Linked DNA regions of Danio rerio. The protein of the gene in region 1 interacts with the protein of each later gene in a biochemical or structural test. Links are inferred from orthologs where the notes say so. Each region holds a gene or a part of one and is shown in the gene's direction. Other genes may lie near its edges.

Region 1 (3,829 bases):
TACAGAGACTCCAGTTACTACTGGGAGGTGCACCCGCGGGAGGTGTCCATGTTAAAGAGGATTGGAGCAGGCTCTTTTGGGACCGTCTTTAAAGGCAAGTGGCATGGAGACGTGGCCATCAAAATTCTTAAAGTGACAGAGCCCACACCGGAGCAGCTCCAGGCCTTTAAAAATGAGATGCAGGTTTTACGGTGAGTCGTCAGTGGGATTTAGAGCTTCACAGAACATCTTTGATCATTAGTAAGCAGTAGTTTGCAGTAATGCTGCTTAGTTACAACAGTAATGTCTTTAGCTGCTACAACCATTGAGTGTTTCATTGACTATATATCTGTTTTGTTCTACAGAAAAACACGCCATGTAAACATTCTGCTGTTTATGGGCTTCATGACAAGGCCTAATTTTGCCATTATCACACAGTGGTGTGAAGGCAGCAGTCTGTATCGCCATCTGCATGTCACTGAGACCAAGTTTGACACCATGCGGCGCATTGATGTTGCTCGCCAAACAGCACAGGGCATGGAGTAAGAATATTAAATTGTTTTCTTTTTTTTCTTCATTTCAGCAGTATAAGTTTAGTTCTTATCTTGCATGCAGAATCTTTGCTCTTTAAAAAGGCAATAAAATGTGATATTTTAAGTACATTTAAGTAAGACTTTAAAAATGCTTTTTTTTTTGGGCAAATCATATTTTATTTGCCAAAAGGTACATTCAGTTAGTTAAATGGTTAAGGTTTTTAATTTGTAAATCTTAACTTGATAATAATAATAAATGTTTTATGAGCAGCAAACCAGCTTTTTATGACATTGGGTGCTTCTATGAGCTTTTGCCTTCACAAAATGCATTTCTATGATTTTAATAAATAGTAAAATAAGAAATTATTTTATTATATTATCAAGATAGATGTAGCCTTGGTAAGCTTAAAGCAGGGTGTCCGTGGGATCTTAAAGTCTTAAAATGTCTTAAATTTCATAAACTAAATTTTAGGCGTTTAAAAAGTCTTAAATTCACTGAAAGTTTGTCTTGTAGGTCTTTAAATAATTGTAAACAGGTTTTAATTTTCCTATGTCTGTGTAAAGCTACCCAACACCCATACAATCGCCAACAATTCATCTCTATAGAACTTTTAAAAAATTTGTTTGTAACAATTTACAATTTGGTTTAATTATCGTCCTTACAATAATTAATGTTTAAAAGTTCTCTGTGTATTTATAGTCCATATATGGTGAGGAGGCTGACTGTTGTGCGTACATTTTAGTGTATTATAGTTTTTAAAAAAAATAGTTATTCTAGTTTATTTTTTTAGATTTTATTGAAAAATATGCATGAGTACTACTAGGGTTAGCTTGTTTTGCCAATTTAATTAAAATATTTGGTTAATAAATAACAAATTATAATATAAAAAGTCAGATTTTTTTTTATATAATGGTCTTAAAAGTCTTAAATTTAACTTTGTGAAATCTACATAAACCCTATTAAAGATAGAGATAGTCGGTCAGATAGAGATTAGAGATAGTTCCCCCAAAATTTATATTCCGCCATCATTTACTTATCCTTCTCTTTTTTCAAACTTGTTTGAATTTCTTTCTTCTGTTGACCACAAAGATGTGCTGCAGAGGAAAGTTTGGGAAAAATTGCTATTGACTTCCATAGACTTCCAAATTTCATCAGAATATTTAGTTTTGTGTTCAACTGAAAAACAAGTTTATAAACTTTATAACCATTTGAGTATGAGCTAACGCTAAACTATCCTTTTAAGGATCTTAAATCTCAAAAGAAATATAAGAACTGTTGAAAAGCTACTTCCAAAATGAAAAATACCATTACATGCTGATCATTTATTGGTTCTTCACACCCAGGCTAACTAACAATATATCATTAATGCAATATCAACAATGGTGGCTAAGAATGGTTGCTATTTGCATCATGAATAACTGATAGTGATAGACTGTGATTTGAACTTGTAAAAGCACACTTGCAACTTCCTAAAATAAATTTGAGGTGCTCCGATCAGAAAATACCTCTTACATTTCAGAATCCCAGAACACACTTGCACAGGAAAATTCACATTTCCAGAAATGCACTAATGCTTTATGATTGTCCCACCTTTTATGTAAGCTCTTTATACAGAGCTTTGGAAACTTTATTCTTACCTTAAGCTTTAACTTTGGTTGCTTTTCTTGACAGTTATCTTCACGCCAAGAATATCATTCATCGGGACTTGAAATCTAATAGTATCCTTTCCATAATGTATTATGTATTGCCTGTATTGTGTGAGAGATCTGTTGCAGGATGGATCACATTCGACCCTTTTGCTTTCAGTAGATGTCATTATTAGTACCACATCTGTTAATAGTTGTTTTAACATGCATTTTTAGTTCAAACGGGTTGTTGTGGATATTAATGAAAAATCTTTTGCAAGGTAAGGATTTTTTTTTATAGTTTTCCCCCTACTAGTATAGTTATTTTAACTGTGTTCTGCATGATATTCTTGAGCTCTTGTGTCAGATATCTTCCTGCATGAAGGCTGGACAGTAAAAATCGGTGACTTTGGCTTGGCTACAGTAAAGTCTCGCTGGAGTGGCTCACAGCAGGTCGAACAGCCCAGTGGCTCCATCCTGTGGATGGTGAGAATCAGTCACCAAGCATCAATAAATCTTATACCTGGTAGCTTACTGCATATGTCAAGTAGTTTAATGCTTGTAACACTGTTGTTGTTTCTCAGGCTCCTGAGGTGATCAGAATGCAAGACACTAACCCGTACACCTTCCAGTCTGATGTGTATGGATATGGAGTGGTGCTCTACGAACTGATGTCTGGGACTTTGCCTTATTCGAATATCAACAACCGCGATCAGGTCTGGCATTGGTCATCATTGCTTTGACAGTTGCAGGAATTTCTGTATAGTTTCATGAGTTTGTAGCTGACAGTTGTTCAGGCAAAAATTAAAATTATGTCATTTACTTGTAGTCAAATTTACATTACGACTTTTTTTTTTTCTTAAATGGGACTTTTTTTTATTTATTTATTTATTTTTTAAGTCTACTAGACAAGATTTTTATACTGAGAACACTTTGATGGTGTTAGACCTGGCTCAAAGATGTAACATTAAGGGAGATGACACAGCGAAATACAGTCAAACATAATATTTATTCTAACACAATTGAAAATAACATAATCAAAACATTATTATCAGTGGGTTCAGTCAGCGTGAAGGGCAAATGAATGGATGCAGGACGTTTTGTCAGTGTTAGTGCGTGGATGCAAAACAAAACATAATGACACAAATTGGAGCGCAGTTCTGACCAACTTTTCAAACAATAAAGGAACAGCGACCCTAAAGAACTCTCGCTCTGCATTTAAATCGACGACGAGCATCAGGTGCGCTGAAGTCATACAACAGACAAAAAGATACAAAAACAGACCAAAACAACGCAGTTCTAACAATGGATGTTTTTTTTTTATCATTTATTGAACTGAGGCATCATATCTAATGTTTTTAATGTAAAATGTTTTATTTCTCTTATTGAATATGAAGTTGTTATGCATGTCTTTATCTATATTAATCTTTCCATGAAAAGCCATACGTTTCCGATGTGGCAATAAATAACAGAACAAACAACTATTTCTGGTATGGAAAACAGGAGAAGTGTTTGTGTGTTTAATTTATGAAATGCTGTGTTTGATTTTTTTTTTTTTTTTTTTTTTTTTGTCTTCCTGTAGATTATTTTCATGGTGGGTCGTGGTTACTTGTCTCCAGACCTCAGTAAATTATACAGTAACTGCCCGAAATCAATGAAGAGGCTCATCATTGACTGTCTGAAATTCAAAC
Region 2 (4,474 bases), on another chromosome or scaffold:
ATTAGGCTGTGTATAAAAATCAAAAATCAATCAAAAAGTTTTTAGGGGTAGCTTAAATAATGTGTGCTTTTTGTGTAAGGGATTCATCAGAATAAACATCAAAATCAATCCAAGGCACTCAAAAAATGTAGAAAAAAATTATAAAAAGCTTTTATTGACATAGCTGTTGCTTAAAACTGCGGCTACATCAGGTTATACCTGATGAAGTCAAATGTTATCAAAACGTGTAGGCGCAGTTTAAAAAAAAATAGCCATGTCAGTAAAAGCTTTTATTATTTTCCCCCATTTGTCGAGTGTCTTAGACTGACTTTTGCTGTTTATACTAATTAGGCTGTTGTTGTTAAATGAATTTTAAGAGAGGCTAGAAGAAAATTGTGAAGCTCTTTTTAATATTTGTTTATTATAAATCTTTAGGAAATATTTACATTTAAAGGTACATCGAAAATGGAGGATACTACAAGCTAATCCAACTACAGATAGTGATTAAAATGTCACTTATTGGAGTATTTAAATATAATTAAAAGGAAAATGAAGTAAATAACTGCAAAAAGTCCACATTTTGAGAAAAAAAACAACCCCTTTCCCCAGGACTGCAGATAAATAGATAGACAGATAGATAGACAGACAGACAGACAGGCAGACAGGCAGGCAGGCAGACAGACAGACAGACAGACAGACAGACAGACAGACAGACAGACAGACAGATAGATAGATAGATAGATAGATAGATAGATAGATAGATAGATAGATAGATAGATAGATAGATAGATAGATAGATAGATAGATAGATAGATAGATAGATAGATGAATAGATAGATAGATAGATAGATAGAGATAGATAGATAGATAGATAGAAATGCCCTTAATACATAATAATAATTATATAAATAATAATAATTATAACAATAAATAGCAACAACAACGATAATAATAATAATAATAATAATAATAATAATAATAATAATACGAAGAAGAAGAAGAAGAAGAATGTGGGACCTCTGAAATAGGGACTAATTCAACAGAAAATGAATAAATGAATAAACTAAAAATGGCCAGTTTATCAGTTTATAAGGAGTTTGTGTATCAGTGACTGGATTGATTTATTGAAGATGACCAAATCTATAGTTGTGGCCTGCTTTAGCTCTATGACAGGAAAGAAAATAAATAAATAAAGGCTAATTATATCATATGACATTCACCTGACTAAGTAATGAGGTGTGTTTGAATTTGTTTGTCATGAAGATTAAGCATTCAAGACTAAGAATGAGTATGAATTACCTTTTCAACAGCTAGGCTGGCATGTTAGTAGATTTACAGGAGTAGAAGGAGGGAATTCTCATTTGTTTTGTAAAATGTTTTATGCTTATTATTAAAGTTATCAGCACTTTTCCTCATGTAAAACTGTCACCGCCTCGCAGACAGAAGTAGATAACAGACAGACAGCCAGGGGCCACTGTGTAACAACGACATTTGTGACACGGACTGGAATCCCCCTTCATGTCCGAACAAACACCCTTCTCGCGCGCTCGCGCCCCCTGCCGGCCACGCGCTCAACAGGGGCGTCAGTCGCTCAGTCAAAGAAACTTCCCAGAACTGAGTGGAAACATCAGAAAGTCGCTCGCGCTCCTCCAGAATGAACTTTTGGGACTACCAGTATGTAAAGGAATGCGTTTTTCAGCGAATTAACATTTCCTGACCATATTTATCGCTTGATTTTTATTGTACTGTCACGAACAGTGGATTTGTTTGTATAATTTCTTTAAAGTTTTTTTAGCGGACAGCAGTGGTGGTCGCTTTGCTGTGGAAAGGATCTCTATTCAGCTTTCCTCAACAAATGCCTTTAGAATAATGGAGGAAAGTGTCCGCGGTGATTCGGTTTTACTCATTTAGTGTCTCTTTAAATTGTTAACACTTGTAGACAGATGAGCTGAGTAGATTTTATCCGAAAGATAAAGTTCTTTGGCACTTTAATGAGTAGATCAGGTGATAACTGACCGTGTTAAAGCTGGACAGGATGGCTGGCGTGGTGCGCACCCTGAGCCGGTGTTTACTGCCCGCTGAGGCCGCTCACGATGACAGGAGTACCGGGAAAGATCGCACCCGCGAGCGGGACGTGAACCGGGAGCGCGAGGCGAAGCGGCGCAGTCGCGAGATCGACTCGATGCTGAAGCGCGAGCGGCGCTCCATACGACGGCTGGTGAAGATCCTGCTGCTGGGCGCCGGAGAGAGCGGCAAGTCCACATTCCTCAAGCAGATGAGGATCATCCACGGAAAAGAGTTTGACCAGAAAGCGCTGCTCGACTTCAGGGATACCATCTTTGAGAATGTCATCAAGGTAACGATTTGTCAATCGTGACAGTTTGCTTTACTTTTTTTGTTGCTGTGGTACAGTAGTTTCTGACACCTTACTTGTCTGTTTTGTTTCTTAAAATTTTTTTTTTACTTTGCTGCGGCTTCCTTTTCATTTTGGTCTATAAATAGCCTACACAATTAGCTGATCAATAAGATAATATAGTCAATAAGTTTGACGAAACAAAAGGATAAACAATTTGTAAAAGAATGAGTTGAGTAGCCTACATAAGTATTAGACGATTAAAAATAAAAGATCTGACATGATTTCTAAAGTTTTTTATATCAATTAATAAAATATGAAATAAAACAAATAGATGATGGATGGGTAGACATTTTGAAATGCTACCTATGGAAGTTTGCACTGTTGATTAGCACTAATCCAGACATGAGCATGTCAAATTTGCTAAAATAATAATATTATATAGTAATATTATATATTTATAAACATTCTCTTTTCAGGATTGATGAACTGGTAAACTATGTCCATTGTCCAAATATTAATTCTATTATATACAACTAAACACTAGCATTTTCGTGTTTCACATATGCAGAATATGTAGATGCAATGCAAATTATGCCGTCATGATTTAGTTATTCCAAGGTCATCAAGGCCAAGTTTCCTTGCCTAAACTGGCCTGTTTCCTGTTGTGACACACTTTAGTCCGAATAAGTAAAACAAACAATGCTTCATACAAATGAAAATCTCTCTCTCTCTCTCTCTCTCTCTCTCTCTCACACACATTTTTTGCAAACAACAGTAATTAATACTTCCCCAAACTCTGTGCTTCAGCCGCCAGAAAAAGCTCACATGAACTAAAATCACATGTAGCCCACACAAACTGCTAAATAAGCTGTATCAGAAGCTGAAGTCAGTGATAAATTTTTTTTTTTAAATGTTAAAAAACTCAAACATACTGTACAGTAAACAAAACATAACTAACAACTAACAAAATACAGTGAACATGTAGAAATGCCCTGCTAACAAATAAGTTATAAATACTGAATAGCCTCTTTGAAGTGAAAGTACAGTGTTAGGTGAGATTGTTTTCAAACTGTTTTCAATGTTAAAACACAAATTTAGCAGTTACATTTACATTTCAGGAGGTGTATTACTGTTCTTGTAAACATCCTCTGAAATTCATTCACATTTTTTAGTGCTATAACTAGTAGGAAAGCATCTTCATGTCTGACTCTGTCCTCCATGCGCTCATGCTCTTTTGTTCTTCACACTTTCCGTCTCAGAAGTAATGGTACGAGAGCTGTCACTCTGGTGGCATCTTTTGAAAAAGTTACAGTACGCATTTGTAGCAAAATGGTTTACATTAGTACAGTGGCCCCTCGCTATAGCACAGTTAACTTTTCGCTGCCTCGCAGTTTTGCAAAAAAGCAAACATTAAACTCACAACACAACGGAAATGCTCCCAACCACTAGATAGCAGTGAAACACATAATACGTCTTCTTTTTTCACTTGTCGAATGGCGAGTTACACTGAAACAGTGATTATCTCTAGAAGCCACTAAAAATGTATCACAATACATTGCTGCCAAGGAGCAAGAGGCGGGTTTTACCTTAGGGCACTCATCTGCAAAGTTAGCGAAATGAACAAACACCCGTGAGATGCGCCAAAGATCTAGCTATAGAATACACAAAGCATGTCACTCGTATAGTTTTGGATGAGGAAAAGTGTAACGGTCAATATGGCGAATGAAGCCCCGCCTACTTGTACAGCAGCCAATCATTGATTGCTATAGAATGATGTTTCTCCAGGGGAGAAGCTCGGACCAGACGTGTGCTTTTATGACAGTTTGGTGGTCAACAAACACACTGGAATTTCAGTGAATACTTGCTTCACAGACACGAGAAATATATCCACGTGAAGCTTGAAATCTGAACTTTTTGAATGAACCAACTACACTTGAACACAAAAGTTTTTTGGTTTTGTAATCTGTATGAAACGAACGTGAGGTACAGTCCTGTCAAATGCACAGCACATCACAGCAATTACTAAAATGCCCATAATCTGTAAACAAAGAGTCGCTGTCATTTCTGGAGGTGATTCGTCATCAAGACCAAGTTGTGAATTACTTCAGAAGACCTGCTCGATCTGACAAATCATTATAC

The links.
Region 2: the proteins of araf (region 1) and gna12a form a complex in vitro, tested with the Homo sapiens proteins (2 studies listed by BioGRID). The link is inferred for Danio rerio from reciprocal best matches to the Homo sapiens genes ARAF and GNA12.

Annotation. Positions count from the first base shown.
Region 1 is NC_133180.1:27,471,571-27,475,399, forward strand, and holds part of araf (serine/threonine-protein kinase A-Raf), read left to right. Parts: coding exon 1-191; intron 192-344; coding exon 345-521; intron 522-2,184; coding exon 2,185-2,231; intron 2,232-2,505; coding exon 2,506-2,624; intron 2,625-2,722; coding exon 2,723-2,854; intron 2,855-3,720; coding exon 3,721-3,829. UniProt on the Homo sapiens protein: Involved in the transduction of mitogenic signals from the cell membrane to the nucleus. May also regulate the TOR signaling cascade. Phosphorylates PFKFB2.
Region 2 is NC_133178.1:40,653,115-40,657,588, forward strand, and holds the start of gna12a (guanine nucleotide-binding protein subunit alpha-12a), read left to right. Parts: upstream 1-1,607; 5' UTR 1,608-2,014; coding exon 2,015-2,335; intron 2,336-4,474. UniProt on the Homo sapiens protein: Guanine nucleotide-binding proteins (G proteins) are involved as modulators or transducers in various transmembrane signaling systems. Activates effector molecule RhoA by binding and activating RhoGEFs (ARHGEF12/LARG).